Coturnix japonica: one gene and its partners. The protein of the gene in region 1 purifies or fractionates together with the protein of each later gene. This does not show direct contact. Links are inferred from orthologs where the notes say so. Each region holds a gene or a part of one and is shown in the gene's direction. Other genes may lie near its edges.

Region 1 (2,966 bases):
CTGTTATATTTTGCCTGTACAATTGACTACTGTTTATTCTGTGGCTTAGTGTTTCAGTTTTCAAGCATTACAAAGCCAGGCCTTTGTATGTGTCATGTAGTCGCTGATCCAATGTTTTCTGTGTTATCTTAAATGCCTCTTGGTAGAATGGAAGTGACTTAGTGTACATTATTTACTGTGGTGTAAATTACTGTACCATGACATTTCTTTGATGCCTTGGTCTATCCAGCTATGTGCTCCAAAGAAATGCCAACAAAGATGGTACTTTTAATAGATTAGAGAATTGTTACATTAGTAAACTCTTGAAAATCCAGAAAGAAGAGCCATGTTAATTAATACTGAGAATATCCAGGTTTGTTATAGGAAGTGCTAACAAAACCACGTGCTTTGGATCTTATGCAGACATCAAAACAGTAGGTAGTATAATGTGATCTAATGGGGGAAGCAGATGGTTCCACATCTGCCTTTTCTCTCAGACTTTTGAAGCCAGCCACTGACAAAAGGTCAGAAACTGGACTAAATGAACTTTGGCATGATGTGTGACTTGCTTTGCTACTAGAACTTTGAATGTGTTTGGAAAAGTGTGAGCAACTTTTGAGTACTTGCACGCTCTGGAGAAATGAAATGATGATGTTATTGTAAGAAACCTTTACTAACTGATGGTTTTTTTCTTTTTGCAGAGGGACAGTAGCTCATAAAATCATGCAGAAGTATGGTTTCAGAGAGGGTCAAGGCCTGGGAAAGCATGAACAGGGGCTGAGCACAGCACTCTCTGTAGAGAAAACAAGCAAGAGGGGTGGCAAGATCATTGTTGGTGATGCTACAGAAAAAGGTAATCTTGTCCTGCACCAATAACTGTGAAAAATGATTGTGGGAAATAACAGTCTGTAGTCAGTGGGAGATCCTGGATTTCTGTTAGCCCTTGGTTCTAGCAGAAAATACTACTTAGTTGGAACAAGGTTCTCCTTCTTGTGGGAACTTACCTTCACGACATTTTATTGAAGTGGTCTTCTATTATTTTAACTCATCCTCCCCCTGAAGCTGTCCTTCTTTAGTGTTTGAAACCTTCTACCTGTACATTCACTTCAGTGAGTGATCCTGCTGCACTCCTGCTGGCTTTTTTCCCCCATCATGTGTGTTAGATAATGCCTTCATTTCCCTGCTGTTGTTTGGTCTAGAAACAGCATCTCCACTTAGTAGAACAGCACAATTCTGAACTCAAGTGCTGGAAGTCAGGAGATCTGTTTTTTAATTCTTAGTGCATCTGATGCAGTTTTCAACTCATGAATGATTTCCCTCAAGGAAATAAGACATTGTCTATGGTCTTTGTAGCAGCGATTTTTCTGCATATTGACCTTCCAAGTAGCTGCAAGATCTGAAATACTCTTCCTCACCAGTACTAAACTATACTTAGTGGTTTTTATTTCACTGTTTGCTAACAGTAAGATTCTGATAAAAGCCTTCATATGAGCATTAGTCTAAAATGATTCCATGATTAACTTTTTTTCTCTTCCTAGCAGATGCAACCAAGAAAGCAGATTCTAATCCACTGACTGAGATACTGAAATGCCCAACTAAAGTGGTCCTACTAAGGGTAAGTTGTGATTAAAGCTGTGTCTTGGTATTTCCAGCACTCACAACTGATTTAAGCGCTAAAACCTGCATTCCTGTTACAGTGACTCTGTACAGTTCAGACAGTTCTGAACTGCACCTACATGGTGCTCTGTGTGTTGTGGAGAAAATCTATCACAGGAAAACATACAATTTGTAATTGTAAATCAACACCGATTTAGATTGTGCAGGGACCATGTCACAGTGTCTTAGTATTAGGGAACTGTCTAGGCTCTGGAATGTGACCAAATGGTTCTTGACCTGGTAAACAATAGCTTAAATTATTCATAGTCACCGTTGCATGCATCCGTGATTTATCTACATGATTGTCTATTCAGGCTGCATCCAATGACTTATGTTTATTGTTTAAACTTTCAGAATATGGTGGGTGCTGGTGAGGTGGATGAAGATCTGGAAGTTGAAACTAAGGAAGAATGTGAAAAATATGGCAAGGTTGGGAAATGTGTCATCTTTGAGGTAAGACAGAATCTTTTTCTCTTGTTCTGGTTACTCCAAAGGTTGAACTGGCCATTTGTCTTTCATGACTTGCACACTACTGCTGTGAAGGAGCAGCATAGATTAAAGGATTTCAAAGGGTCCTTTGTTGTGTTGCGATTCCAATGTTTCCAATATTTGTGAAGCGTGAACTCTGAATGTCAGAAATAGCAAAATCCTGGAGTGTTTTGGAACTTTTTCTAGTTCCTCCTGCTAAATTAATCTTTCACTTTGAGATGCTTCTAAGTTTCGATTACTGAAACTTTTCACCCTAGCTGATTCAAAAGGTTTCCATAGAGAAACAGGACCCAAGTTCAGCAGTCTTCAACCTCCCTTTGGCAACTGAAGAATTGAATTACATTGGCTTAATTTTACATTCTGCTTTTGTGAAGAAGTGCTGCGTGATGCAGTGGTTTTGTTACTGTTCTAATCAGACCTGCTGGGGTTTGTTTTGTTTTTGGGTTTTCTTTCAGATTCCTGGTGCCCCTGATGATGAAGCTGTAAGAATATTTTTGGAATTTGAACGGGTTGAGTCTGCAATTAAAGGTAGGTTATTAAACTGTGTCATATGAATTTCAGAGTTCATTTCTTCAAAGAGATTAAACAGTCTCGCTCATTGGACTCAGATTTTTAGTCGCTGATTTGCTGCTTGCTGACCTCTTTTTTTGTTGCAATTATAGCTGTTGTGGATCTAAATGGAAGATACTTTGGCGGCCGAGTGGTGAAGGCTTGTTTCTACAACCTGGACAAGTTCAGAGTACTGGATCTGGCAGAGCAAGTTTGATTTTAAAAATCTAGCTCGAGGTGTCACTGTTTTGGCAATCATGTTTTCAGCAGTAGGCTGGGAAAAAAGAAGAGAA
Region 2 (4,216 bases), on another chromosome or scaffold:
AGAGATAGGTCCCATCAAGTATCTGCCTTGCTGCACCTGAAACCTTTTGTTCTTGAGCCATCTTTCTTGTACTTTTTGAATGCAGTGTGTTCTACAGTAAGGGGTGACTTACAGTTAATATCCAGTTGTCTTGAGGGTATTTGCTATAGCCAGGGAGGGAGATGTGCTGCAAGACTTTCATGGATACGGGCCTGTAGCCAGCCTCTAGTTCTTCTGTCACTTTTCTTGGTCTGCAAGGCTCTAGGTGCCAAGGTTGTTTTTAAGATAAATGCACTAATAGAAGTACGCTTCTGATTGCCTTCCTTTCTCTACAGCTAAGTAAAATGTTTTAACCCTTCCACTCTGTGCAGAAATTGGACCTCCTCATCATCACCCTGGGCACAGATTGCCTCATCCTGGAATCAGCGAGCATCCTCCCTGGGGAGGGCCGCAGCACCCTGATTTTGGGCCTCCCCCACATGGATTTAATGGGCAGCCTCCTCACATGCGGCGACAAGGCCCCCCTCACATGAACCACGATGATCCCAGTCTGGTGCCAAATGTTCCCTATTTTGATCTTCCTGCTGGACTGATGGCTCCACTTGTAAAAGTAAGTGCTTGGGATGGGCCCAGACTCCATCAAAATCCCATAGTCAGCGTTACAGGCAGTTTAACACGGACGCTTATGATTTCACATCTCTCCATCCAGCAGACGGGGAAGGTAGTGTAAATGGTGAGAATCTGAAGTGTTGTGTTCTAGTGAAAGCCAGTTAAGCCTGTATACGTGAAAGACTGATGTGCTTTTGACGGTGTTACCTCCAGTGATTTCCATATAGGCAGAGGGAACTGGCGGTTCTGGTGGGGCCACTGTACGCTAGTCTTGGTATTTGGAGTTCTTTCTTACATAGATGTTTTGTGACACTAATGTTGTACACACAAACAACGAATGGTAGGGATACGTATCTGTATCAACATCTTGGGGGATATATGCATGTATGCATTCTGTGCTTGAGATGAACAAACAGGTCTATTCCATCTTAACTTTCTGTTACCCTCAGCACGCACCGGTTTTTACCAGGTTTCCAATCCAGGCACTATTATCACAGAGCTGGATAGGTAACACCTGCAATTGATCTACCTGGTGGTCCAGTTAATGTCTCAGTATGTGTATTTACTGGCTTATCTCAAAATGATGGTGATAGCACAAGAAAGCTTTGGGTCATCTGCAGAATCCTTATTACTGGAGCATTTTTATCCAATAGTGAACTGTGAGGTCCCTACAAGGTTAAATTTATATTTATCTCTTCAGATTGGCCACCCCATGACACATGACAAGAATGTAATTTGTTTTGTTTCCGGCAGCTTGAAGATCATGAGTATAAACCTTTAGATCCTAAAGATATACGTCTTCCACCCCCAATGCCCCCCAGTGAGAGACTACTGGCTGCGGTTGAGGCATTTTATAGTCCACCATCTCATGACAGGCCTAGAAACAGGTAAGAGTAGGTATAGCTAACAATATGGTAAGGAAAATGCCCTAAGGAGCTGTCTCAAACCAAGAAGTGGTTCTCTCTTCCTTCACCCATGTCTTGGTTCTTCTAATGCTAAGAACAAGTGCTCTTGTTGTATTTTAAACCGTTTGATCTTACACTGAGATGTTGCAAGACCTTGGTGCCCAGGCTCTTTGTTCCCTACCACATTGAGCGGAAATCCTCTGTTGATCATGATTGAGTTTTACAGATGTCTGTTCTATGTGTGGTTGATTTATTGCAGTGAAGGCTGGGAGCAGAATGGACTGTATGAATTCTTCAGAGCTAAAATGAGAGCAAGGCGGAGGAAAGGTCAGGAGAAGAGAAATAGGTGAGAGACCTTGTCTGCTGCCTTCTGTGCGTGCTGTTTGTTTGGAAGGTGCTAGGACTGCCTTGCACTGTTGTAGGGAAACAGTTCAGCAATATGTTACTGGATTTAACTGAGTTTTAATTGGTGTAATCCATAGAAAATTTCTTTTTTGCACTCGAGTTTTGTTGGGCTTGTTTGCAGAAATGCTGTGTGTGTGATTTCAGTTTGATCAAAAGCACAGTTACATTGAGATGCTCAAGCATCTCCAAGGAGTTTCACAGGAGTTTTTCTGCTTCTGTCTGTGCAGTGGCCCTTCTCGGTCTCGCAGTCGGTCTAAAAGCCGAGGTCGCTCCTCCTCCCGCTCCAATTCACGATCTTCAAAGTCATCTGGCTCCTACTCAAGGTCCCGATCTCGCTCCTGCTCTCGGTCCCGATCCTATTCACGCTCTCAGTCCAGGTAGAGTGCGGAACTCAGAGGTGGAGGTGGGGGAACGACCTGCAGGGCTGAGCGTGGAACCCTGGGCATTGCTCTGGTGTGCTGTGTGACTGATGGGTTTGTGCTGTCTCTTTCTAGAAGCCGGAGCAGGTCCCGCTCTTCTCACAGCCGTTCACGATCACGGTCACGATCAAGATCCAAGTCTTACTCTCCAGGCAGGCGGCGCCGGTCTCGCTCTCGTAGCCCCACCCCTCCGTAAGCTTTTGTTTGTTTCTCTTTTTACCTTTGTAAGTTTACAGCTTTATAAAAGAATTTCTTAGTAGAGCAGACAAGGTTACACTGGGTGTTAATGTTTAACAGAACATAAATGACTTTGCACTGGGTCAGAACAGTTATTGCTTGTTCTTAATTTCATCTTCTTATTTCCTTAGCTCTTCTGCTGGCTTAGGTTCCAGTTCTGGACCTCCTGTTCCAGAATCAAGACTTGGAGAGGAAAATAAAGGCCATCAGATGCTTGTGAAAATGGGTAAGGCGCTGTTCTTGAATCTGCCATAAGCCAGCAAACAAAATGGGGCGAGCAGCTCCTGCATCCAGTTAATCTTTGCAAATCTTAATTATTGTCCCTTACAGCACCTTGGTATTCTAAGGTGAGAATAAGGATATTCAGAGATGTAATACAGAGAGCATGAAACATGAGAAGGATGCGGATGAGAGGGATGTGAGCTTAGCATGAAATAGAATTTAACTACCTGGCACGTTTCATCTCCTTATAGCACAGATCAGCATCAGCAGGACTGACAGGACAGGTTGGCCTTGTGCTTGTCCTCTTAGAAAGCTTTTAGGGATTGAGCTGATGCTGTTCAGCTCCCAGAATTGCTGCTTTTGAAGTAGATGGGACAGTTCATACGTTGTTTCAGACTGTTACTACCCTGCCACATTGAACTGGCAGTTCTATTCATTATTTCCAGGATGTCTGTTCGCAATTCTAGTGTTGCAATGGTTACAAGTTACAGTGTCGTGTACTTTGTACAGGATGGAGTGGGTCTGGTGGATTGGGAGCCAAGGAACAAGGAATTCAGGACCCAATTAAAGGAGGAGATATTCGAGACAAATGGGATCAATATAAAGGAGTGGGAGTTGCATTAGATGACCCGTATGAGAACTACAGAAGAAATAAAAGTTACTCATTTATCGCACGTATGAAGGCTAGGGATGAATGTAAGTAGATGTTCAAAAAACTGCTCATGTTGTTTGTGATTTTACCTTATTTAAGGAGTTTTACGGTAGAATGTAAACTCAAAATCAAATTAACTCTTAATTCTTTCTAATGTAATGGGTAAAATAAACGACAGGTAAGTGAACACACTGATTAACCCTATGTCTTCTACTTCTTGGGATTGTGCTGTATTCTGATTTCTGAAATGTTAATTAATTAGCGTGTTCTGTGTAAGCCACATCCTGCCTGTAGCAGTAGTCTCTGTCTTTAAATGTTATCCTTTAAACAACAAGATCGGTCACAAAGGTAGTGGAGGGGGCCATGCCAGGGATGGATGGCTGCCAGAGCAGGAAGGGTGTGGTTGGAGGGAAGTTGTCCCACACTCACTTTTTGGCCCTGCCCAGCTCCTGCAATGAGTGCTGTGTTCTGTCAACCCCAGAACTGGTGATAAAGTCACTGTATGCAGTTTCAGGTAGGGTGCAGAAAAAATAGAGATGCTTCTTAGGAGATGAAAACACCCAAACCATGAATTTTAGCAGTGATTAGAAGGGAAAAATTGGCATGCCAGATGAAAAGTCACTTCTGCCTATGGCTGCAGTAGATCTGCGTAATCAAATGGATTCAAACAAAGGCACAAAGGAAAACGATTGTTATTAACAGAGCCCTCATTCCATGAAGCATTCTGCAGTTACCTAAGCTGTCTGAAATGTGTAAGTGCTCTTTTCCCTATTGTTTCAGTGAAGCGT
Region 3 (4,764 bases), on another chromosome or scaffold:
ATACTCCTCAGCACGCAGCCAGGCGAGCAGAGCCTTCACTGTGAGCCCAGCATTAACCACACACTGAGCTTGAAAAGCCACCCTACAGAGGGACACGGTGGCTCCTGCCACATGCTTTTGGGGCTCACTGTGGGCATCCCTCGCTGCCCTGTGGTTGAGGGCTCTCTCTTTCCAAACATTCTTTTCAGCTCCCTGCTGGAGGTCACCCATTTCCCAGCTGCAGGCATCTACATGCAGCGTCAGGTCATGGCTCCAGCACAGCCTCTTCTGAGCTCTTAAACCCAACATAAACCTGCCCCAGCAGCTCCTGCAGCCCTGCAGGGATGGGTCTGGAGACCAGGTGCAGCTGAAGGCTTGGACTTGGACCTGTGTGTGCTAACAAGCCCGGGTCCACTACTGTCCATACTGCCTGGGGTAGTGGGGAACCAGAGCTGAAGGTGAACTTTCTCCTTTGCCTCTGTTACGTGAGGTTAGGGATGTGGCTGAGCCCTTCAGGCATCCTGAATGCTCCTCCTGCTGTTATCCCTTCTTCCAGACCCTCAGCTAAGGTCCAAAAAGGTGGGGAGGCCGCAGAACTCACAGAGACAGCTTTATTCCTCAATATACTCAAGGATCATGTAGTTCCAACCCCCCTGCCTAGCAGGGCCACCAAACATACACATTTACTAGTTCAGGTTGCCCAGGAGACCCCATAGATCCCCATAGAGACCATAGAGACCCCATAGATCCCCATAGAGACCCCATAGATCCCCATAGAGACCCCATAGACCCCATAGATCCCCATAGAGACCCCATAGAGACCCCATAGATCAGGTTGCCCATGGCCCCGTCCAACCTGGCCTTGAACACCTCCAAGGACGGGGCATCCACAACCTCCCTGGGCAGCCTGTTCCAGGACCTAACCACTTTCCTAGTGAAGAACTTCCCCCTAACATCCAACCTAAATCTTCCCTCTTTTAACTTAAAACCATTTCCCCTAAGTCCTGACATCCTTCAGCCGTGATGTCCAAAGCCCATTAAGCACAACGTCTGTTCATCCCAGGAGCAACATCTGTAACCCCAAGGCAGGCAGGAAGGAGGCAGCACCGGACTGGACATGTTTTATTCTGCTTGGGCTGTGATTCATGGCTGTATAACGCTGCCCACAGCCACATTGAAGCTGGAGGCTTTCACCCCAGCCTGGGGGCACCTGCAGTGCTCTCAATCCTTACGACTTTATGGGTTTGAAGCGAGAGGTGTCAGAAAAGTTCCCACTTTTCTGGGATAACTGGGATAACTGGCTTGTGGCGGCCAGTGGATCTCACTGCTCTACACCTTCACATGGGCTAAAATCAACGCGGAACCACATTCAATCCGGATCAAGCGGCTCAGGGAAGGGGCCGGACCCTTCCGGTGTTACACAGCGAGCTTCTGGTTCCGGGCTGGAAGGGGAGAAGATGGAGACGATCCTTGAGCAGCAGCGGCGCTACCATGAGGAACGAGAGCGGCTGATGGACGTCATGGTGAAGGAGATGCTCACTAAGAAATCCACGGTGAGCCCGGGGATGGGAGTGGGGGGACACAGGGGGTGTGTGCCCGGGGAGAGGGGGGGGGGGTGTGGGGGGGGTAGGCCGGGCTCAGGCCTTCATTATTAACGCCGTTTATTTCTATGCAGCTCCGCGATCAGATCAACTCCGACCACAGGACTCGGGCTATGCAGGATGTGAGTGGGGTCGGGGTGTGAGTGGGGCTGGGGGTGGTTCGGGTAGCTGTGGAGGTGCAGGGCCCAGATTGGCCCCGGTTTGGTTGAGGTTCTTTGTGTCAACGTGAGGTTTGTGTTGTGTTTTAGAGGTACATGGAAGTGAGCAGCAACCTGAGGGACCTGTATGACGATAAGGATGGGTGAGTGTATAGCGGGCTGGAATGGACATGGGGCTGCCTTGGATCTGCTTTATACACCACAGACATGATGCTACAATGCAAAGCTGGGGGTCTGCCCTAAAGAGGAGGACCCAGATTTCACATGAAACATGCAACACAAACACTTCTCAAGCAGAAAGCACAGAGCAGTACTACAGCCCTGTCCCCCTTCCTATCCCCATATGGGGGTGGAGCTGATCCCCCACCACACTCCTACCTCCTCTCACCCAACCCCACCAGCTGTACCAGACCCTCTGGTATTGAATCATTGAGGGAGACGGTCTCTAACTGAGACTGCAGCGTTTGCAATAGAGATGTGACCCTGATCCTCAAAGCACAATCCTGGCTGCATGTGGAACATCAGTGGGTGTATGGGAGATTGGTAATCACAGCCTGAACCTCTGATTAATCAGCTGAGCCAAGTGTTGGGTCAGCTGTGGGAGCACAGGTGAGAGTAATTTAGCTGTTCCCCATAAAGGGGTGGAGCTTGACTTCACCTCCTCTAGACCTCATTGAAGGGCTGACCACCACTAATGCAGCATCTCTTGGTGATTGCTGCTTGGTAGTGATCACTTCAGTGGTTCCCAGCAGATCTAAGGCTTCCATATGGGTGAGCTTAACTTGTAAATAACCTTTTGGTTATTTACTACCATCTTTTCATTATTGTCCCCATATGGTGGGGCTGTGATTTCAGTCTCACTGGTGTTTTGTGGGAGCAGAATGCAGTGTTAGACTTCCAAACATTATACCAATATAAACCAACATAAACGTGTTTTCTATATGCAACCTGTCTTCTTTTTATGAACCTGTAGCTTACGGAAGGAGGAGCTCAGTGCCATTTCAGGGCCAAATGAATTTGCTGAATTCTATAACAGACTGAAACAAATAAAAGAGTTCCACCGCAAGCATCCCAATGAGGTAAGCAGCAGCTCCATAAGGATAACTGGTTTGTGGTGTGTTGGGCTTCATCTCTGCTGTATTAAAATGTCATTCAGGAAAACAAAGTGTCTAGAAATAGGTGATGCTTTGAGACTTTATATGAGCCTCTGTCTGAGTAGGAGAAAATGCAGGATGCTCACCATGTCCTCCACACTCTCTATTAGTTTAAGAGCATTCTGCTTCTGAGCTAGCATTCATTCTTGCCTGCCTAATGCTGTCTTTAGTGCAAATATAATCATGAAGAAGTGCTTGAAACACCTCTTCAGTTACTTGTTTTACTGTTTGCAGTCTGTATTAATTACTCCTGGGCATTAGCTGAACTAATCCCTTTTTCTATAACTTCTTCTGTTCCTGAAGATTTGTGTTCCAATGTCAGTGGAGTTTGAGGAACTGTTGAAGGCCAGAGACAACCCAAGTGAAGAAGCTCAAAGTAAGTCTTCAGGGTTTTGTTTGTTTCTTGTTTGAGGTTTGTTTAGTTGAGAACACATTGCTTGCCGTGATTTAGTGACCTGTCTGTTCTGCTTTGATTTCCACCTCCCTTTCCCTACATTAACCATAACAACTGTTTTAATTTCATTTAAATTCTTCTGGGCTGCAGCCACCCTGAAATATTCCACTGTTGAGATGGTTCTTTTGGGGGATGGTCTGATATAACACTAGGAAGCTGGTGGCCATCTAGTCGATGAGTATCCATTTGCATTATAAACATGCTTAAGAAAGATAAACTAGTCTGCAGTTCAGCTTCTAAAGCATGCATATAACAAGCAGAGGATGTTGAGTTTGTAACAAAGCCCTGCGTGCTCTTTCCTGCAGACCTGGTGGAGTTCACAGATGAAGAAGGGTATGGAAGATACTTAGATCTGCATGATTGCTATCTCAAATACATTAATCTGAAATCATCAGAGGTAAGTGGTTGCAGTAGTGTGGGCACTCTGTTGTATTGCACTTCAGTGCTGAGGGCTCAGTGGTCTGTTTTAAATGTCATTTATTTCCAAATAGCTGTTTTATGGTGCTTGTTTTGCATTGTGTTAGAAAGCACACTGTAAACCCCAGCCCTGTGCAGACCATGCAGAATAAAGGCATGAGCTTTGTGCTTTTCTTCTAGTCTGGTGACTGGAAATTGGTTGCTGATATGCTGTGTGTATCTAAAGTCTGAATCAAACTTCCTTTCATTCTTAGAAACTGGATTACATCACTTATCTGTCTACATTTGACCAACTCTTTGACATCCCCAAAGAGAGAAAAAACGCTGAATATAAGAGGTGAGTCTTTTTCCTGCCTGCTTCATTCATGAAAGTAGTTGATGAGAAGGAATTTGCTTCTCAAGTGTCCAGGAGCAGAGTTAGTAATCAAGCAGAGGTGACAGAGATTGGGTCACTGAGCTGTATTAACTCGGTCATAAATCCCTTGAGCCCTGAGAGGACGTGAAGCACAACAAAACGTGGGAAGCCGTTGGGCTTCTAATTTTGAGGCAGTACTTTAGTTTGCTGTATTGAAATCTGTTCTAATCTCGGTAACTTTGTTATATCAGTACTTTGATATGGAATTGTCTGTGCTGATAATTACTTTGCCAGGTATCTTGAAATGCTTCTGGAGTACCTACAGGAGTACACAGATCGTGTGAAACCATTACTGGACCAGAATGAGCTCTTTGGGAAAATTCAGACCGAGTTTGAGAAGAAGTGGGAAAATGGGACATTCCCTGGCTGGCCGGTGAGCAGCTGTGAATTCAGTGTCAATGCATTTGTATTTGTGCTGGATTTCCCTTGAGTTGTCTGTGTTAAATCATTGTTGAGGTTAAGCTTAATAGCAAGATGCGTAGCTGCATGTCACAAAGGTGGAGTTTGAAGAGAACTCTTATTTGGAAGTAGTCTTTTTAAAGGTTTGCTTGCTTTTAATCTTTTCTGTTATTTCGCTGCATGGTTC
Region 4 (4,662 bases), on another chromosome or scaffold:
GAACACCCCGAGTTGGAAGGGATCCACAATGATCACAGAGTCTGAAAGAGGATGTTTCCTCAGAGCTGTGCTGCTGTGGGCTCGTGCATCTCACAGCTTTTCACAAGTATCAGAGGATCAGTGGGACTGAGCCAGATGATTTATCACACACTGATTCCTTCTGCTGCTCTGGGATCCCCCTGTTGTTCTCGGGCCAAACCAGAGGTCAGAAATGGGGCGAAATGCTTCTGGCTTCTGCCACTTTGCTCATCAAATAACAAACTTCCATTGCTGTTGTCATGTCCCAGTCCCAGCCGGGAGCACCGTGTCAGCTCTGGCACTCAGCTCTGCCGTGGTATATTTAGATGCACTGAAATGCTGAATTTACCCTTATCCTTGGCACAAACTATGAAAGCACAGCCTGGCTGAGGTAGTGCAATTGAAGATGACCAATCCCCAGCAGTCTGTGCTTTCTGCTGCCTTCCAGCCCACAGGGAAAGAGAAACAAATCCTCCGTGTCGAGTTCATACAACGACATCAGCTCCCAGTGTTTCCCAGGGCTCCGACTCCCTCAGAAATCATTCCTGGAAAGCAATAACATTCAGATTATTTATCTAAGCTATTGCTTGGAGCTATTAAAGCCTCTCAGCCGCTGGTATGCACAGAGGATCAAAGTGTGCCTCTACCAGATAAACGAATACAATTTATTAAAGCACATTTCTTCATTGTCTCTTGGCACCAACAACTCAACTCTAACAGCTGGATCTTAGTGCAGCCTGAAGCCCCGCTCGCAGTTTGGCTGTGAGGCTGCATCCACAGCAATCTTAAAAACCACCACTTGGACTTTCCAGTACAAAGGAGCTTTCCAGAGCTCGTGTACAGCATCTGAAACCAAGAACTGCTCTGTTACAACCCCATTACAACCCCTAGAGCTGAGCAATACAGTGTGTTGTGCTATAGGAGGAAGGTCCGCATTCAGGTGGCTCTGAGACGCCTCCAGCTGTGTTGGGCTGTGCACAGGGAAGCAGTTCCCTCTGCTGACCGAAGTGCTGCAGCGCTTCAACTGCGACCACACCAGAATTGGGCACAAGGACAACTTTTATTTATTTATTTTTTATTTATTTAAATTGGCTCTTATTTACAATGATGCACTGGCACGGGTTGCCAAGACAAGCGATGGATGCTCCCCTCTACAACACCCAGCGCTGTCCCTTCTAACCCAACCACGCTGTGATTCCATGATTCTGATTTCTATGCGCTTTCCTTCCAGCTCGACAGCTCAGAAAAGCCACCTCTATACAGCCCCTCCCGGCCGCCATTTTGTGGAGGAGGGGCTGCAAGAGGACGGCCCTCTTCCTCTCGGCTATGCTCGGCTGTGTTCGGCTGTGTTCGGCTGTGCTCGGCTGTGTTCGGCTGTGTTCGGCTGTGTTCGGCTATGTTCGGCTGTGTTCGGTTGTACTCGGCTGTATTCGGCTGTGTTCGGCTGTTCTCGGCTGTACTCGGCTGTTCTCGGCTGTACTCGGCTGTGTTCGGCCTCGCTCGGCCGTGCGGCGCGTTGTGGGCTCGGTGCGGCCTGTGTGTCCGGGCGGGATGGTGAAGCTGACGGCGGAGCTGATCGAGCAGGCGGCTCAATACACCAACGCCGTGCGAGACCGAGAGCTCGACCTGCGGGGTGAGATGGATCTGCCGGGAGGGAGCCGGGCCTGGCTTTGTGGGGGGGGATCGGGAGCGGGCCTGTGTGGGGCCTGCGCTGAGGGGAGGCGTGGGGCCTGCACTGGGAACGGGCCGTGCAATGGGGGGGGTCGTTCTGTGTGTTAAATGCCTCTTTCATGTGTCCCCAGAGCTCCATCCCATCCTGCTTTATTCCCTTCTCACGTTTCTTTTCCCCCCCACAGGGTATAAAATCCCCGTCATTGAGAATTTAGGGGCTACGTTGGATCAGTTCGATGCGATTGATTTCTCGGATAATGAGATTCGGAAATTGGATGGGTTCCCTCTGTTGAGAAGGTTGAAAACTCTTCTGATGAATAACAACAGGATTTGGTACGTGGTTGTGTTGTGATCAGTGTTGTGATCAGACGGGACCTGGGGCAGAGCAGAGTGAAGAAGGGAAAAGAAGCGTGCCCGTGTCTTTTAATACCTGATAGGTGTAAAAATATCTGCTTTATGGGGAAGAAATAGCGCTTGGTATTTGCTTCAGCCTTCAATTAGCCGGCTTTGTTCATTGCAAAGTTCTGCCCCAGCTCTGTGTTCCATTTTCATACAGGACAATGAGATGCAGGGCCTGGAGTTTGTGTTGGGTCCTTGGGGGTTGTTCACTACCCCCATAGTGATGCACAGACAGGGGTGCCTGCAGCTGAGTGAACAGAGCTACCTTGCTGCACCTGGTGCCCTTACAGTGGCAGCTGCTGTTTTATGTTGGCTTTGTTACAAAGCTGATGCTCACCCAAACTTCTGCTGCTGTCATACTTGGCTGTGTTTAAGTGAGGTGCTCTATGTTGGCATGGCTGCCCAGGGAGGTGGTTGGAGTTGCTGTCTCTGTAGGTGTTCCAGAGCCATGGAGAGGGGACAGAGGTGGCCCAAAATGCTTTCAGCTGTGTTGGCCACAGACAGGTTTATTGGGCATGGTGGGGATGGGCTGAATGATCTCTGAGATCTCTCCAGCCTTAATGATTCCGTGATTTTTAATATATCTGTGTCTGTGTCCACCATTGTTAATTTCCAGCCAAAGGTAAAATCTTTGTGTTTTTATTCTTCTGTAGTCGGATTGGGGAAGGACTTGAACAAGCTCTGCCCAGTCTCACAGAGCTGGTTCTTACCAACAACAACATTTCTGAACTGGTAAGTTAGTGATGCAGAATAAATCTTGACAGCTCTAATGTTTTTGTCCTCTTTCTAATTAGTCGTCTTCTTCAGGAGCTTCATTCTGAAATATTTGATTGTCGTGAAATGGATTTAAGATTCTTACTCTGTTCTTCCATTATATAGGGTGAACTGGATCCATTATCAAGTATTAAAACATTGACTTACCTGAGGTGGGTAATCTTGAAAAGAAAAGCAGCGGCTTGTTGTGATATATTTCAATATATTCAATACATGAAGTAACTCTTTGTGACCTTTATTTGCCTCGTAGCATTTTAAGGAACCCAGTAACAAATAAGAAGCATTACAGATTATATGTTATCTACAAAGTTCCCCAAGTCAGAGTGCTGGATTTTCAGAAAGTGAAACTCAAAGTAAGTCTGTTACCTTCGGATTGAACACCAGATGGAGACCTTTTCTCCTATTAACTCATAGAACTGTAGTGAAATCAGTAAAGCTTTTTGCCCCAGCTGTAAATGGCAGTGGAACAGTTTGTCCTATGAGGCTTTAAAGCTGGTGCTTCTCTTTGATGGTTTCACGCCGTTAAGGATGTAATCTGCTTTATTGTTTTTAATTGATGTTTCACTGCTGTTGTTTGTTTAGTCTGATTCTTTTCTGGCTGGCCGGTGTTGGTGGTGATAAGGGGAACGTAGAGAAAGGAATGAGGGATCAGAGCAGAGCCCTCTGCTTGGGGCTGTTGCTTCTAAGAGCACTGAAGTGCTACACCTCGAGTTGGAGTGTTTGTGCAATGTGTTTGTGCTTGTCCTGGGCTCCTCATGCTGATGTTCACTGAAGATGAGCCAAAGCATCTTTCTTTGCAAAGAGCAGCTCTGCGAAATGCTACATCCTTCCATTAACTTTGTATGTGTGGTATCGCTGTAGGAGCGACAGGAGGCAGAGAAAATGTTCAAGGGCAAACGGGGTGCACAGCTTGCAAAGGATATTGCCAGGAGATCAAAAACGTAAGATAAAACAAACGCTTGCACTGGCGTTCTCCTTCAGAAACACCACGTTGTGTGCGGCACCGAACTGAGACGGCCCTGGTTGTTTGGATGGTGGTGAACACATCTGAGATCTTTATGGTAGACCCGTTTGGTCAGGGTGGATCGGGATATAGCAGTAAACAGGGAACTCTGTGTTATTTTACTGCAGAGAGGGGGCTGTGGTTTGCTTGGTTTTGCTCTCTATAGTGACTGGGAACTGAAAAATCTATTGATCACATTGAGGGTGCTCAGTGAGTGCTTAGAACTGTTATCAAATGTGCTCTCGCTGTGGTTAATGAGTGGAAATGGCCCATGTCTGTGATGGCTTTTGAACAAGTGAATCAATGAATCAAACACCCAGTTCACATCCCAAATACACGCAGGACAGGGCGCAGGTCTGTGAAGCTGGGTCACATTTAGGCAGCTCTTTCAAGCTGTGACTTCCATTTCCATAGACAACAAACGTCTGCTGTCCTTTAAGCAGCAGCAGGTAACTCACAAGGAACTTCCACCATTCATTTTACATAGGCTGTCCCAGTATCCTGTGAGATACTGAAATCCAATTCCATTCACTCTGCTTTGTGTGATGGTTCAACAACATCCAAATCCAACAGCTTTCATCAGCCGCTTAATTCTAAGGTGCCAGTCTGCCTCATTATGAGCAGATGAAAAGATCTGGGGGGGGGGAAGGGGATGGGACAGTGAGGACAAATCCAAGCGGTTGGTGTTTCTGAAGGAGGCCATTCATCACTGTATCAGTTTGTTAACAAAGAGAAGATACTACACTTGATTGATTGAAACGCTTCCAAACCTGCTTTGGAAGTGAGAGAAGCACACG

Evidence for each region.
Region 2: the proteins of RBM17 (region 1) and CHERP purify together in Homo sapiens (co-immunoprecipitation; 4 studies listed by BioGRID and IntAct, counting the BioPlex papers as one, with this or other methods). This does not show direct contact. The link is inferred for Coturnix japonica from reciprocal best matches to the Homo sapiens genes RBM17 and CHERP.
Region 3: the proteins of RBM17 (region 1) and SF3A3 purify together in Homo sapiens (affinity purification with mass spectrometry; 4 studies listed by BioGRID and IntAct, counting the BioPlex papers as one, with this or other methods). This does not show direct contact. The link is inferred for Coturnix japonica from reciprocal best matches to the Homo sapiens genes RBM17 and SF3A3.
Region 4: the proteins of RBM17 (region 1) and SNRPA1 purify together in Homo sapiens (affinity purification with mass spectrometry; 5 studies listed by BioGRID and IntAct, with this or other methods). This does not show direct contact. The link is inferred for Coturnix japonica from reciprocal best matches to the Homo sapiens genes RBM17 and SNRPA1.

What each region holds. Positions count from the first base shown.
Region 1 is NC_029516.1:3,129,582-3,132,547, forward strand, and holds part of RBM17 (splicing factor 45), read left to right. Parts: intron 1-680; coding exon 681-832; intron 833-1,517; coding exon 1,518-1,594; intron 1,595-1,989; coding exon 1,990-2,088; intron 2,089-2,579; coding exon 2,580-2,652; intron 2,653-2,786; coding exon 2,787-2,890; 3' UTR 2,891-2,966. UniProt on the Homo sapiens protein: Splice factor that binds to the single-stranded 3'AG at the exon/intron border and promotes its utilization in the second catalytic step. Involved in the regulation of alternative splicing and the utilization of cryptic splice sites.
Region 2 is NC_029543.1:3,379,451-3,383,666, forward strand, and holds part of CHERP (calcium homeostasis endoplasmic reticulum protein), read left to right. Parts: intron 1-350; coding exon 351-589; intron 590-1,341; coding exon 1,342-1,475; intron 1,476-1,752; coding exon 1,753-1,839; intron 1,840-2,125; coding exon 2,126-2,275; intron 2,276-2,392; coding exon 2,393-2,509; intron 2,510-2,685; coding exon 2,686-2,780; intron 2,781-3,286; coding exon 3,287-3,472; intron 3,473-4,208; coding exon 4,209-4,216. UniProt on the Homo sapiens protein: Involved in calcium homeostasis, growth and proliferation.
Region 3 is NC_029538.1:3,123,857-3,128,620, forward strand, and holds the start of SF3A3 (splicing factor 3A subunit 3), read left to right. Parts: upstream 1-1,389; 5' UTR 1,390-1,436; coding exon 1,437-1,532; intron 1,533-1,654; coding exon 1,655-1,702; intron 1,703-1,828; coding exon 1,829-1,881; intron 1,882-2,711; coding exon 2,712-2,817; intron 2,818-3,195; coding exon 3,196-3,268; intron 3,269-3,651; coding exon 3,652-3,743; intron 3,744-4,017; coding exon 4,018-4,100; intron 4,101-4,412; coding exon 4,413-4,551; intron 4,552-4,764. UniProt on the Homo sapiens protein: Component of the 17S U2 SnRNP complex of the spliceosome, a large ribonucleoprotein complex that removes introns from transcribed pre-mRNAs.
Region 4 is NC_029525.1:15,973,319-15,977,980, reverse strand, and holds the start of SNRPA1 (U2 small nuclear ribonucleoprotein A'), read left to right. Parts: upstream 1-1,470; 5' UTR 1,471-1,569; coding exon 1,570-1,651; intron 1,652-1,874; coding exon 1,875-2,022; intron 2,023-2,741; coding exon 2,742-2,820; intron 2,821-2,967; coding exon 2,968-3,014; intron 3,015-3,112; coding exon 3,113-3,215; intron 3,216-3,723; coding exon 3,724-3,803; intron 3,804-4,662. UniProt on the Homo sapiens protein: Involved in pre-mRNA splicing as component of the spliceosome. Associated with sn-RNP U2, where it contributes to the binding of stem loop IV of U2 snRNA.